Linked DNA regions of Cricetulus griseus. Each later gene encodes a partner of the first gene's protein in a complex. Links are inferred from orthologs where the notes say so. Each region holds a gene or a part of one and is shown on either strand. Other genes may lie near its edges.

Region 1 (7,638 bases):
TGGCCTCCCTAGTAGCTGGGATTACAGGCCTGCTCCACCCCACTCATCAGAATGTGACTGTATTTAGACATAGGGCCTTTAAAGACAGGACTAAGATAAAATGAGGCCCTTACAGTAGGGCCTGATGTAAACTGACTGATGTTCTTACACAAAGAAGGCATCTAGGGACAGGGTTATAGATCAGTTGGTGAAGTACTTCTATTGCAAGCATGAGGGGTTAAGTTGAATCCCCCAGGTGAGTTGGCATATGCATGAAATCCCAGCACTCAGGCAGTGAGACAGGTAGATTCCTGGGGTTTGGTGGAGAGAGGTGGCTCCCTGGGTTTCTCTGGCTAATCAGTCTAGCCTAATAAGTGAGCTCTAAGCCAACGAGAGACTGTGTCTCAAAGGAGGTAGACACCATTCTGAGATGACACTCAAGGTTGTCATACAACCTCTATACACATGTGAACACACTTGCACATACTTGTGTGTACACACACACACACACACACACACACACACACACACACACACAGGGACATCAGGATACAGGAACACAGGTAACTATCAGAGTCACAGGTAGAGGAGTGAACCTGAAAGCGAATGGCAGAGGCCTTAAGACACAGCTCTGACCATGGCTTGGCCTTGGGCTTCTTTTTGTTATCATACTAGGCTGTGGCACAGAACTAGACATGCAGGTGACAATGGCTATGAATTCATCCCTGGAGAACTACATGTGGAGCCCTCATACCCACATGGGTATACCCTACGATTGTTTTTAGTGTCTGTGAGGTCCTAGCATGTGGACAGAATTAGGTGCCAAAGCCTTGCCCAAGCTCAGGTCTTTCACACCTGTCATATGCTACAGGCAGGCTGGATCCCACAGTGACTACAGAAAATCCACAATTGGCCTGCCTACCCAAGGTTGGCTTCAGTAGTCTACAGTAAGTCAGGAATTGATTTGTCAACTGCCCAGATGGCTATGAGGCACCAACAGTGCTTGGGGCCCTGCCCAGCCATGGACCAGGGGGGCGTGGAGGCACCCAGTGAGCTGGATGCCCATTTCCCTTGAACCTCAGCCCTGCTCCAGCCTCAGCTATCATAGATAGTACATACAGTCAGCCTGGGCTCCCAGAGGAAGGTTCTTGAGCTGACTGTGAAAACCCTACATCTTAGTCCTCTGATCCTGGGGGGTGGGGTAAATTCTATCCATCATTCAGTTCTGACCATGTAGACCACATGGGCTTGTTTCTATAGAAACAACCATCCTGCCATGTGACTTCCAACTTCGTACCTCATTTGTCCATGGCCACCGCTGCTAGGCGGTGCCTCAGCCCTGACTGGAGGTCACCTTGAAGCCTTCATTTCCCCTGCTTCACCTTCACACATACAATCTTCCACCTTCCATCTTCCATGGTGCTTGACAAACCACCCCCAAGGTCCCTATGTGAAAATCTTAAGGCACACCATTGTTCTGTTGAAGGTGCTGTAGACATTAGGGTGTCGGGCCTGTTGGGAGGGCCTGAGGTCAGTGGGGTGCACCATTAAGAGGGGTTGCAGGACCTTTGTATTTGTTTTTCCCTCTTTAGTGGTTTTTCTTCCTAGCTACATGGGGAGCAGCTTGCTTGGCCAAATGTTCCTGCCATTGCTACCTGATACCCCCAGCAGGTCCAGAGCAATGGGTCTGTCTGAAGCTGCCCTGTAACTCCAGCACCATAAGCCAAAATAAACTTTTCCCTTTATAAGTTAATGATCTCAGAATGCCATTATGATGTTGCAAAGCTACGAGGTCACCCTAGCCTTCCACACTTAGGTCATGGCACCTGCCTGGGCTGCACATAAAAATCTTCCACATACAGGCAAGGTGCTCTTTGCTCTGCTCGGGTTATCCCGCTGGTCAGATGACCTTTGGCTTCTGACCCTCCAGCACCTCCTCCTCCTGGTGCACACATCTGGCTCCACCCACCATTCTCAAAGGAAGTCTTGTGGTTTGAAAAAGCAGAGTGGAAAACTCTGCCTGTGCCCATTGGACCCTCCTACACAGAAGAGCGACTGTGCCCACCTGTGCTATCATAAACCAAGGCACAGTAGGGGCAGAACCTGCCTTAGGCTCCCAAGTTGTAGGATGGCCCATGTGGGTACACGAAGTCCCTCCCATATTGCTATTCCTGTGAATGGGTGCTGTCTTGGGAGCTATGTCATGGTCGCTGTCCCAGGAAGCACGCCACTGCTGTTCTTAGGTGAATCTGGTTATTTGCTCTCAGCTGTAACCTGCTGCCATCCAAGTTCATCCTAAGTCAGTTTGCATCAAGTCCTGAGAACAGAGGAGTTCTAGACCCCTCCTGTTCCCTCCCAATCAGCCACTTCTCTGTGTCCCTGTCCTGTGGCTTCTCAGGGCTATGTTGCCTGTCCTGTCATGGACAGGTTGTGTTTTCAGTGCTCTTATGTCATCAGCTCATCTTCATCATTCAACGCCTGCCCCAGGCTCCCTAGGCACCTCTGTCACCTCCTCCTTCCCTAAAGCCACCAGAAGCACCCTGTCTCCTGCAGCTGTGTATTTATTATGTGCCCCACTGGTCTGCCTTCCACATGAACCTGAGTGCGGCAAGTCCACAGGTTAGCCCACCTTCCTAAGGTCAATGGGAGAGGCAGATCCTCAGTAGGGAGCTGTCAGCTAAAGTTACTAATGCTATTTTATAGAGGAACAGACAAGTCTGGTGACCTGCACCAGGACACAGCCACAACTTAGACATGACCCTTGATTCCATGAGTGACATTTAGGTACAGTGCACATTGCCGCTTAAAAGAAATAAGGAAATGGCAAGGCTAGGAAGATGTTCAGCAACTGAGAGCAGTTTGTTGCACAAATGGGAAGATCTGAGTTCAAGTCCCCTGAACCCTTGTAAAAAGCCAGTCATGACCACATACAGCTGTGATTCCAGGGTTGCAGAGGGTGGAGACAGGGTGATCTCTGGGGTGCCAGCCTATCCCCAACCTCAGTGGGGGACCCTATCTCAAGGGAATAAGGAGGAGAGTAACAGTCAGGACACCCAATGTCTTCCTCTGGTCTCCATCTGGGATCATGGGCTGCTGAACCCATCTCTCCCTCCCAGCACATATGCACTCTCTCACATATACACAGACAGACAGACACCACACATGCAGACATGCACTCACATGCCACATACACATAAATACACACATACATTGGGCTGGGTGTGGCAATGCACTCAGGAAGCAGAGGCAGACAGAACTCTGTGAGTTCAAATAAAGGAGCTAACTTTCTGCTTAGCCTGACATTATCAGTAATTTCTACGTTACTGAGCCCTTCTAACATACCCAGACTTAGAGAACCTTAGAGCCATGATGAGACCTGTTTACAGAGGGGCAAGTTGAGGCTCCGAAGCCAGAAGACACAGACCCCAGCACTGAGCCTGGACAGAGATACTACTTGAGATGACCTGGGACTTGTCCCTTCTTGCTGCTTGCAGACTGAACAATGAAATCTTGTTCTCCCTTCAAGCTGGAATAGGTCCCGTGGACTTGGCCACCCTAGTGCTGATCCAGTGTAAATCCTCCTGCCTCTGAGGACCCTGCTGGGCTCACAGGAGGCAGAAGACCTGGCTATCCTGCCTGACTGAAGACAAGCTATTCCCCATGAGCCCAGAATGAGTGACAAGCAACAGAGGACAGCCTACCTAGATACCTAGCCTTTCAGGAGAAGAGACATGGTCAGTGGTCATGTCTCCTGAAGCACCTGCCACCACAGACTTCTGGCTCCTCACTCCAGAACGATTGCCAGCCAGCCCTTTACAGCGTCTGCCCACGTCCTGCCTCCTCTTCCCACCCATAGCTCAGCTACTGCCCAGCAGGACCCCATGAAGCACCAGAAAAGAACTGAAAGGCTCTACTTACCTTTAACTCCATCCCAGACAAGCACAGCTATTCCCTGGTGAGCTGCACAGGCTTATTTATACTGGAGGGGTGGGAGGTGGATCTATTCCCAAGCTACTCTGTACAGAGGCTGGGGGAGGATCCAGGTCGGGAGGCCATGGGAATCCAAGCTTAGCCAAGATGGACCAAGGCCAGGGCGATGTTCCTTTGGGCCCCTTCCAGGAAGCCCTGGTGACAGATGAGCACCAGCAAAATGGATTGGCGCTGAGTTCAGTTACACATTTACCCCAGTTCCTTGGAGTCAGGGCCATAGTCACAGGACTAGCTGTGTTGTGACAAACTGAAGCCAGCCATACAGGCTTGGGATTCAAGCCTCTCATGATGCACTTGTAAGCCTCTCAGGACCTGCCAGGAAGGGGCCCTCCTGCAGGGGAATGAGCCTCACGTCACCAGAGGCTCTTAGGATGTACAACCTTGAACAGCTGTAATTGCGTTAGTTGCCTGTTCTGCACAAGGGCTTCTAATGGGCTGTGGATACATACCATCAATAGGAAGTGCCTTCTGGAACCTTCTAGCACATCTGGGGAGGCTGGGAAATTCCAACTGTGGTGCAGCCATATTGAAACAAAATGTTCTGGGCTTCTAGACAGGAGCTGTCTGTTTTTGGGGGGTGGAGTTTTTGGAGTGTTACTCTTGGCGAGTGTAGAGAACGGATGGGAAGACAGGGTTTCAGAGGATGAGGTTAGTGGGATACCAAGAAAGAGTGAGAGTGTGGGGACAGATGAGGACACAACAAGCCCAGAGGGAGAAGGCCTACCAGAGGGGTCCCCCATACAGTCCACCATAGATGGCGGCAAGCTTGCATTGTCACAACAACCCAGAACCTCAAGCTATCTCTTGGCCATAGAGTAGACACAGGCAGAACCTACCTCCACCCAGACAAGGCATGGGAAAGAAAAGGCAGAAAGAGGGGGTGTTGGCAGAGCAGTCCCTGGCTCAGAAGGAAACAGATGCATGATACAGGGCATGATGGGATCTGAGCTGGGGGCTGGAGAGTGACTTTCACTGGATATGGAAGTAAAGTGGCTACAAGAAGGTATAAGTTGGAGGCCAACTGCAGGAGGGCATCAAGGCTGCAGCCGTGAATGCCTACACTCTGAGGACTGAAGAAGTCAGTGCTAGAAGCCCAGGGGGATGTGCAGGGAGTAAGAGCTCAGGAAAGGCCAGCTGTGGGCAGATTTTCCTGAGGAGTGTATGAATGCCTTAGTAGCTTTGGAGCTTAGCAGGGAGACCTGGGCTGGGGACACAAGAGTAGAGTTCCTGAAGATAGGGATAGAAAGGTCTTTCTTCTTAGTTCCTGACCCTAGAAGACTGGATCTTCAGACATTGAACATCTTTTTGTAGTTGGACACCTCAAGATCACTTCAGGATAGGACGAGTGACTGGAGAGTCTGGCCATATAATCAAAAGGAATGTCCAGCCTCAGTCCCCTGCAAAGAGAGAAGGGCTGAGATGGAGTTGACAAGTGATGACAAGGATGTCATCAATCCTATATGCAGAGGCCCCTATGCCCTGGGGTCTGGAGAACTTCCAAGCTGAAGAATGCATATGAGGATATGTTTCCCAATGTGATGAAGTCCTGTGCCACAACTGTCCTGCCTCTTGCCCTTAGTAGCCCCTCATCTGGCTGTTTCTGTGGGTCGCATAATAAACCAGCCAACAGAGGCAAAGTGAGTCGCTGGAGCATTTCTGGCTAATTGTGAAACGTGAGGAAGCAGGGACAAGCCTGTTGTGGAGGCACACTGTACTGAGAGTGGGTAGCCCTTGCTACTAAGGTTTTCTGAGCATGAGCCACCTTTCTGACAGTCATCTCTGGCTTTTCATTGCCTCCATCCCAGCTGGAGCAACTGCCCCTATGGTGGCAACTTAGGCAACAGAACTCCTGGGCCAGGCTTGCTGTGTAGACTCTTTCTAGTTGCTCTGAGGGGTTACTGAGTAGCCTGCAGTCCTCATGGTCCCTTGTTCCTGTACTCTTTAGGACGGAGGGTGAGAGGGTGCAGAACCCCCTCTGTCTGTATCCTAGGACATTCGTACTGGTTTCACCCAGCTTCCCTCACCACATAAGCATGTGCCAGCTCACACCAAGTGTCCCTCCCATCCCTCCACAGTGTGTTCCCAGACCTCTTTATGACCAGGAATTTCTCTAAGCCTTACATCCAGGGGTAGTGTTATCCCTTGGCTTGTGTTCCTCAATACTCACTCATGGAATGAAATCACATGTGCTCCACACCATGCCTGACAGGTACTGCAGTTCTCCTAGCTCCAGGGTCTCACTATGGTTTACAAAGCCCATGAAACCACAGGCCCGCTCTCAGAGCACACACAGGCACACACATATTCCTGCTCTCGACTGCTGGAGCTTCCTGCATTCCAAGTTCAGGGCATGTACAGTTGAGAGACTTGCACCAGGAGGGAATCAAATGCGTATTTTTGTCTTCGAGAAAAGCTGTGCATGTATGTGTGTGCATGTATGTAGTTTGTACCCACAGGCATGTATGTATGATTGTTGCATGCGTGCACTTCTGTGATTTCATGTCTGTGTGGCTTGTACATACCTTTCATTGGGTGTCACATGTAGACAGAGGTTTCTTGTCCCATCTCCCTGCTCCCAAATAACTGCCTCGGAGACAATATAAATTATAAATGCTCGGCTGATAGCTCAGGCTTGGTACTAGCTAACTCTTACACTTAAATTAACCTCTTTTTCTTTATCTATGCTTTGCCACGTGGCTTGGTACCTTTTCACAGTATGGCGTGCCCATCTTGCTCTCTCTGCATCTGCTGGCGACACTCTCACTCTGCCCTTCTTCATCCCAGTATCCTCAGTTTTATTGTCCTGCCAAACTTTACCCTGCCTTACTATAGGACAATCAGCTTCTTTATTAACTAATGAGAATAATACATATTCACAGTGTACAGAGGATTATTGCACAACATTTTGTGGTTTGTGCATATATATATCTGTTTGGTTTGCATTATGTGTGATTTATGCATGCATACATATTTGTATGTGATGAGGATAGATGCTATTAGGGGCTCCAGAGTCAGGGTTGTATTTTGTCTTTATTTCTGTTGCTTGTTTTGGCTTTTTGTTTATTTATGGTGTTGGGGTGGATTTGGGTAAGGACTATGCATTATGCCAGCCTTCCCGCTCTCACTATAGACTTGACATGAAAGAGAATTCAACCTGATAGAAAATGCTCTTGAGAAATAGAAATGGACAATGTTTTATTAATTTAGAAAATACTGTTAAAATGTGTAAATTGATTAAAGAATAAAATCATTTTAGTGGCTTTCTTTACTTTTTAAGACAATAGCTCATAAAGCCAGGGCTGACCTCAAACTCAGTGTGTAGGCAGGGATGAACTTCTAATCCTCCCGCCTCCATTTTCCAAATGCTGGGATTACAGAAATGCATCACTGTGCTTGGGTTATGGGCTACTGAGGATTGGACTCAGGACTTCATGCATGCTAGGCAAGCACTCTACCCATTGAGCTACTCGCAGGTAGATTCTAATAGAAACTATTTGTCAGTGAAAATTTCTCAGCAGTCACATCTAAACCAAGTCTTCACAGTAAAAGTAGCAGATTCTGGGTGCGTCCTCAGGGTGCCTTGTGGATCCTTTGCTGCACAACATACTATTTCCATCACAGCAGAAGGAGGCCACAGAAGCAGACAGAAAGAGCTGTTTCCTAACACCA
Region 2 (7,074 bases), about 150 Mb from region 1:
GTCTTCTAGAAGCTGGAAAAGGCAAGTTTTTCAGTACCTGGAATAGAATCCGGGGCCTGGAGCATGCTAGGCCAGTGCTCTACCCACAATCCACATTCCCAGCCCTAAAGCCACTCTTTCGAAGTCCTACCCCGGGACCTGTGCTGTTGCTATGTTCCAGCTTCTGCATCATCGTGGTCCCCTTCTGTTTCCCAGATCTGTGTCTCTTTCCTTTCTTTCTGAAGATTTGTTTTTATTTTGTGTATACGTATGAATGTGTGCATGTATGTATGTATAGCGCATTCATGCCTGGTACCTAGGAAAGCCAGAAGACAGTGTTGGGTGCTTTGAAACTGGAGTTACCATTGGCCTGACGTAGGTGCTAGGAACCTAACACAGCTCCTCGAGAGGAGCAGTGAGAGCTCTGAGCTGCTGAGCCATCTCTCTACCTGATGTGTCTTTTTTTGTGTGTGAAAGACTTCATGCTGCCCCTAAGCTTTTCCATCACCCTGTGGTGGCCTCATACTTTCCCTCTATCTGGAATGCATATGGTATGTCCATTCGTTATACACCCCCACGCTCAGTGACACACTGAGTACCTGAGTACTATAAAGCACTGGACACTGGGAAAGACAATGACAATTCTACTAGAGGACTTGTCATCAAGACACAGAAGACCAACTAGGGAACTAGTGAGAGTGCTGGGAAAGGTCCCTAAAAAGGTGCCATCCACATCCAGCCATGGGATGAAGACGAGATGGCTGGGTAAATATGGGCTAGGCTAGAAGCTGTTCTGAGCAGGAATTGGGCAAGGAACTGTATGACAACTTAGTGACGAGATGCAGGACTCAGGAGAACATGGCTAGAGCAGAGTGCTGGAGGCTGGGGACTGGCTGGGGATGTGGATGGGTAAAAAACAGGGGCCTAAATATATTCACTCTCCTTGCCTTGTAACAGGTCCCCACTGTTGCCATTCCCTGTCTGAGTGACTGAGGAGATACTGATCTCGCTCTGGGGTGGGATTGAGACCAGGCAGAGCCTGGTGCCTTGTCCACTCACAAGTATTGGTTCACATTAATAAAGGACTCCACAAAGTCCAGAGCCACTCTTTTGTTGTATGAAGAAACAACTGGTACCAAAGGACTCTTTCTGCTGGAGGAGGTGGGCTGTTGCCCTGAGCCACCTGGGTCATTAGGTGGCTGACATCATCCATTAGGGCCTGAGCGCACCTGTGTTGAGCACTGAAGCCAGTCGCACCTCATAGTGGGACTTTCCTTCCTGGTCGACCACCTTGAAGAGCCGTGTGTTGTATGCACTGAGATTCTGGAAAAGACCAGAGCAGGGTTTGAGGGACGAGTGGAGGAGTGGCCATCCCATGGACAGCAGTGAGGCAAAGTAGGCTGGGGTTTCTCTTAGGAACCTTTCCAAGCCTACCAGGAGTCATTCCAGGCCAGCCTGGGATGACTGTCTTGCTGTGCTCCACACACTAAATGCTAACTTTAAAAAAATAAATTTAATTAAAAAATAGATACATATGTGCATAGTCACATACATACATACAGTAGTGCATGCCTTCAATTCCAACACTCAGGAGGCAGAAGCTGGCAGATATCTGTGTTCAAGGCCAGCCTGGTCTACAGAGTGACACCTTGTCTCAAAAAACTAAACTAAACTGAAATAATATGCTGGGGCCAAAAGTTACAAGTGCTTACTGCACTGCTTTTGCAGAGGACCCAGGTTTGGTTCCCAGCACCTACACAGTGGCTCACAACCATCTCTAACTCCAGTCCCAGGATAGCCAAGGGCTCCTGAATAAAGGTGGCGCATATTACATACACTCAGTCGCGCGCGCGTGCACACACACACACACACACACACCAATTTTTAATTAAAAAAAAAAAAATGGTCCACACATGTGCCACAGTGCTTGCATGAAGGTCTCAGAATAATTTCAGGAATTAGTTCTCTCCTTCCACCATGTAGATCCCAGAGGATCAAACTCACGTCATTGGGCTTATTGGCAAGCACCTTCACCCCCTGAGGCATTCACCAGCCCCATGAGTGATAACTTTCACTAAGCACCAGCTTAGCCGTGTGAGACATGGAGCCACCTCAGCCAACTCTCAGCTGTGTGAGACGGACATGGGAAACAGCCACACAGCTGGTAAGTGGCTGGGCAGCCAGGCTCCGGGGGCCCCATCTTGGAAGTGTGGAAATGGCTCCTGGGACACATGTAACATCTTTGTCTTCCTGACTGGCAGAGGCTTACCTCACACACAAGATCCCTTAAGTATTTTCCCACTTCAAGGATCCAAAGTGCCCATATGTCTTTTGAGTTCAAGCTGGGACCCAAGAACAGGTGCCCATGGTGAAGGGGCAGGGACAAGGAGCCACAACAAACTAGTATCCCAAATTGCCAATTCCCAAACCTGAGAGTCCAGAAAGTCCTGGGCCAGCTTAGCATCTTCCATGGTACAATTCCCAGAGAAATAGGTGGTAACTCCCTGTTGGGAAGAGACGGTAAGATAGGAGGTGGGTGGGGAGACAAGAGGGCAGAGTTACTGAAGGCTCAGCTGGGACCCTACACATCAGCTGATGGCTTCCTTGCCAGGATCTCTGCATCTCCTCCTAGCGCCTCTCCCATCTATTTCCAGGGGGAGGAGTTGTAAAACAGATTATCATCTTAGACATTTTTTAATGTGTTTTCCTGTGAGACGGGGTCTCACTATGCAGCCCACACTGGCCCTCTCACTCACAACCATCTTGACTCAACCTCCTGAGGGCTGGGATTACAGGTGTGTGCCACCATGCCTTTCCTCCAGCTGGGCTCCCACCCATCCTCTCTAGCTGGCTCACCCCTAGGCCTTGCCACAGCCTCTTCCCATGCAACCTAAGCAATCCCTAGAGGCAGGGACCCTAGCCCCCTACATCATTCCCTCCCAGTTCTTTCTCGCCCCCCCCCGCTTCATGTATCTACACCCTGGCTTGACAGACCTGGAAGAACATTCTGGAAACATTCCATCCAGTTCTCTTCCCATTTTACAGATGACAAGTAGGCCTGTGGTGCCAAATGGCTTTAGCTAGAGAGTAGAGGAAGAGTCCCCTGCCTCCCATCGGCTGCCTTTCCATTTTTACCAAGCAGCCTCAAAGATGCCCTCCACTCTACTGAGCTCTTGGATGGCAGGACTCACCTCCTTCCCCAGTCCAAGGTGTCGAAGCCTTGGCTCCAGGGAGAACATAAGCTCCCCACAGGTTTGCCAGAGATCCCTAACTTCTTCTGGCTGCTGCTGGGCAGCCTTACTCCCCAGGATCACACGTTCCAACTTTTCCTGCAAGGAAAAAGGAAGTCATTGGCCTGGTCACAGGTCCTTCAAACCTTCAGAACCTCCCTCTACTTGAACCTAAGACCTCATAGCATATCCCAGGAACAACAGCATCACCAAGCCCTGAGAAGAGCTGAGCCTCAGGCTACCACAGACCTTCTCCATCAGACACTGCATTCAATATTACCAGGCCACTTCTACAGGCATTAACATCTGAGGAACCCTAGGGCTCCACCTATTCCCAGTGATGACCAGTGGCCATCTAACAGTTCACATTTACACAACCTGTCCTTGTTTGACTCTCAGATCAACAGTCTGAAACACTTTTCCTTTACGTGTGTGTGTCTGCCATGCATGAGGATGCTGAGTGACACTATAGTCATAGTGTCCCATTGACAGGGTTATGGCTTGACTCTGCACCTTTGACTCCAACCAGGGTCCCTTCTTCATACTCCAACCACAGCCCACCACTGCCTACTTGTCACCCTCCCCAACTCACCTTGGGCAGGTTAGGAACAAACTTGGTGTCACCAAAGGACTTATAGTTGCCCATGTTGGAGTAGACCCCGGCAGCATAGACCAGGAATGCCTAGGGAGTGGAGGCAACATAGCATCAAACACCTGAGAAGCACAGCTCCCTTTTGCTTTCAGGAAAATGTCAAGTCAGAACACCAGGGCATACCAGTATGGAAGAGGCTGGGAAATCTCAGGGTAGAGCCCTGATCCTAGGAGGCCCCAGTCTGACCCACTCCACCATGTAGACAAATTAGTTTCAGGGCTACCAAACACACCTAGGGTGCCCACCGTTCCAAGGGTAGGCACACAAGCTGGCTAGGCTAGTCAGAGAATCACCTCCTCTTACTATAGACTGAACGAAACAGTCAAGCTGGCCAACATCACCAGACCTAGATGTTCTATTACTGGAATGATTAGAGAACACTAAGAGATGAAGATCCCATCTCAAGATAGACTGAACAACTGAATCCAGCTGCACCTGAAGCTTCTTCTAGCCCTGGACCTTGAAATTATGTGAGCTAACAATTCTCTTGCTTTTCGTTTATTTATTTGTTTGTTTATTTTGGAGACAGGGTGTCATTGGGTAGCCCTGGCTGTTCTGGAATTCACAGAAATCCGCCTGCCTCTGCCCCCTAAATGCTGGGATCACAGGTGTATGCCACCATACTAGGCTCATAATTCTAAGCTCATAATTCATTCTCTCTCCCTCTTTTTCAATACAGGGTTTCTCTGTACAACACTGGCTGCCCTGGAATTCACTCTGTAGACCAGGCTGGGCTCAAACTAAGAGATCTACCTGCCTCTGCTTCCCAAGTGCTGGAATTAAAGGCATGCGCCAATACTACCCCGCTAGAATGCTTTCTTTAAGCCACTTTGTACTGAGTTTCTGCTACTTTGGAACAAAAGAATCCCACTGAAAATAGTTGACACTTGGGTAGTACTTCCCATTTACAGGCATTTCCACAGAGATTAACTCTTCCCAAAGTTCAAAGGCGGTGAAGAAACAATAAGCTTGGCTCAGAAAAAAAACAATCTGATCCTTTTCCTTATAGAAAACCAGGTCCCAGCCTCATACACTCCTGGTGGGAACATAACATGTTGAAGCATTTTTTCAAAGACATTTTATTTGAAGAAAGGGTCTCACTATCTAGCCCTGGCTGGTCTACAATTCAATATGTAGATCAGGAACTCACGGAGATCCTCCTACCTCGGACTCCTGAGTGTTAAGATTAAAGGTGACCATGGCCACTACACGAACACCGCCACACATGGTCTTACAAGATAATTTAACAGTATCAGAGCATTATAAATGTACAGAACCTTCAACCTAAAAGCTAGATTTTCTACAAATAGTTTCTACTTAACCCACTTGTACAAGGATGAGCATTGTAAGAAGAAGGAGAAACCATCTAAAACGTCCAGCATTTTTTAAAAAAAAGGACTCATCTGATTACAGTGTACACTGCTGTAGAGTGCTTCACAGCCAATAAAGGGAAATGAATTAATATACACTCTATGGAAGTTCTCCAGGACACAGAGACCTGCAAAAAGGGCAGTATGCAGGACACCGAGAACATGATGTAAAAGGTAAAATGGGGCTGGGGGTTGGTTCAGTACATCACTTGCTGTACAAGCATGAGGACCTGCGTTTAAATACCCAGCACCCACAAAAAAACAGTCATGCATGGCCATGCAGGCATGTGAACTCAGCACTGGAAGGTGGGCGTGTACACAGGCTACCCTGGGAGCTTTATAGTCAGTCAGCCTAGACAGAACAACAAGCTTCGGACTCAACATGAGACCCTCTCTGTGGGCTGGAGAGATGACTCAGTAATTAAGAGTTCTCCCAGAGGACACAAGTTTGGTTCCCAATACCCACGTCAGGTGGATCCCATGCCTCTTGCTTCTGTGAGCACTTATAACTCATAGCAGACACACACACACACACACACACACACACATATGCACACAATAAAACTAAATAACTCTTTGTAAAAGAGGGAGATCCTGCCTGGATGTTGGTGGTGCATGCCTTTAATCCCAGTACTTGGAAGGCAGAGGCAGGCGGATCTCTGTGAATTCGAGACCAGCCTGGTCTGCAAGAGCTAGTTCCAGGACAGCCTCCAAAGCCACAGAGAAACCCTGTCTCAAAAACCAAAAAAAAAAAAAAAAAAACCAAAGATACACAGAGAAACCCTGTCTCAGAAAAACCAGAAAGAGAGACAGAGAGAGATCCTGTTTCAAGGGAGTAACTTCTCTTCTACTATCTACATGTTCAATACTTGCACGTGTGCACACAATGACACACGTGCTGTCATTTTACATTTTAAAAAGTAAGCTAAAGCCGGGTGGTGGTGACACATGCTTTAATCCCAGAACTCGGGATCTCTATGAGTTCGAGACCAACCTGGTCTACAAGACCTAGTTCTAGGTCAGCCTCCAAAGCCACAGAGAAACCCTGTCTCGAAAAACAAAAAAAAAAAAAAAAAAGAAAAGAAAGAAAAAGTAAGTTAAGCTGGGCGTTGGTGGCACATGCCTTTAATCCCAGCACTCGGAAGGCAGAGGCAAGTGGATCTCTGTGAGTTCAAGGCCAGCCTGGTCTCCAGAGCAAGTTCCAGGACAGCCTCCAAAACAATACAGAGAAACCTTGTCTCGAAAAACAAAACAAAAAATTAAGTTAAAAAAATATACTGTGCACATACAAGTATCAGTATCCAATGCACTAGCCATAGTAGCTACCTCTGGAGAGACAATGAGCATGTGTAATTTTTTGTGTTTTGTATGTTTCTGAACTGCTGCATTACACTAAGAAGTAGTGTGTTATTTGATTAATACATCCACAGACAAGAGCTAGGGCACAAACAGATCAAACTACCTAGGTTCCTCACAATGCAGAAGAGTAACTCAAACCTCCTAATTTCCACCCAGGCCACCTTTCTGACCTTCAATATCAGCTGCTAATTCCTTTGTACAATCACTGCAGATTGCTGAGAACTCTGGAACCTAGGCTGGCCTCAAACTCACAACAATCGTTCCACCTCAGCCTCTAGAATTAATGTGTGTGCCACCATGCTTGTCTTGTCTCCCTGCATCTTTTTTGTTTGTTTGTTTGTTTTTTGTTTTTCGAGACAGGGTTTCCCTGTGGCTTTGGAGGTTGTCCTGAAACTAGCTCTTGTAGACCAGGTTGGTCTCAAACTCACAGAGATCCACCTGCCTCTGCCTCCCAAGTGCTGGGATTAAAGGCATGCGCCACCAA

What was found.
Region 2: the proteins of Agt (region 1) and Dpp3 are in contact, whole or in part, in a crystal structure (PDB 5E2Q), measured with the Homo sapiens proteins. The link is inferred for Cricetulus griseus from reciprocal best matches to the Homo sapiens genes AGT and DPP3. Residues at the interface, in NP_001369746.2 of Homo sapiens: Asp25, Arg26, Val27, Tyr28, Ile29, His30, Pro31, Phe32; in NP_005691.2 of Homo sapiens: Phe109, Glu316, Tyr318, Glu329, Phe381, Gly385, Ile386, Pro387, Ala388, Gly389, Ile390, Asn391, Ile392, Asn394, Arg399, Val412, Leu413, Val415, Ala416, Phe443, Val447, His450, His455, Glu507, Glu508, Asn545, Arg548, Leu552, Glu555, Phe556.

What each region holds. Positions count from the first base shown.
Region 1 is NC_048596.1:201,290,519-201,298,156, forward strand, and holds the start of Agt (angiotensinogen), read right to left. Parts: upstream 3,935-7,638; 5' UTR 3,910-3,934; coding exon 3,898-3,909; intron 1-3,897. UniProt on the Homo sapiens protein: Essential component of the renin-angiotensin system (RAS), a potent regulator of blood pressure, body fluid and electrolyte homeostasis.
Region 2 is NC_048596.1:54,358,496-54,365,569, reverse strand, and holds part of Dpp3 (dipeptidyl peptidase 3), read right to left. Parts: intron 3,892-7,074; coding exon 3,802-3,891; intron 3,309-3,801; coding exon 3,171-3,308; intron 2,484-3,170; coding exon 2,409-2,483; intron 1,303-2,408; coding exon 1,209-1,302; intron 1-1,208. UniProt on the Homo sapiens protein: Cleaves and degrades bioactive peptides, including angiotensin, Leu-enkephalin and Met-enkephalin. Also cleaves Arg-Arg-beta-naphthylamide (in vitro).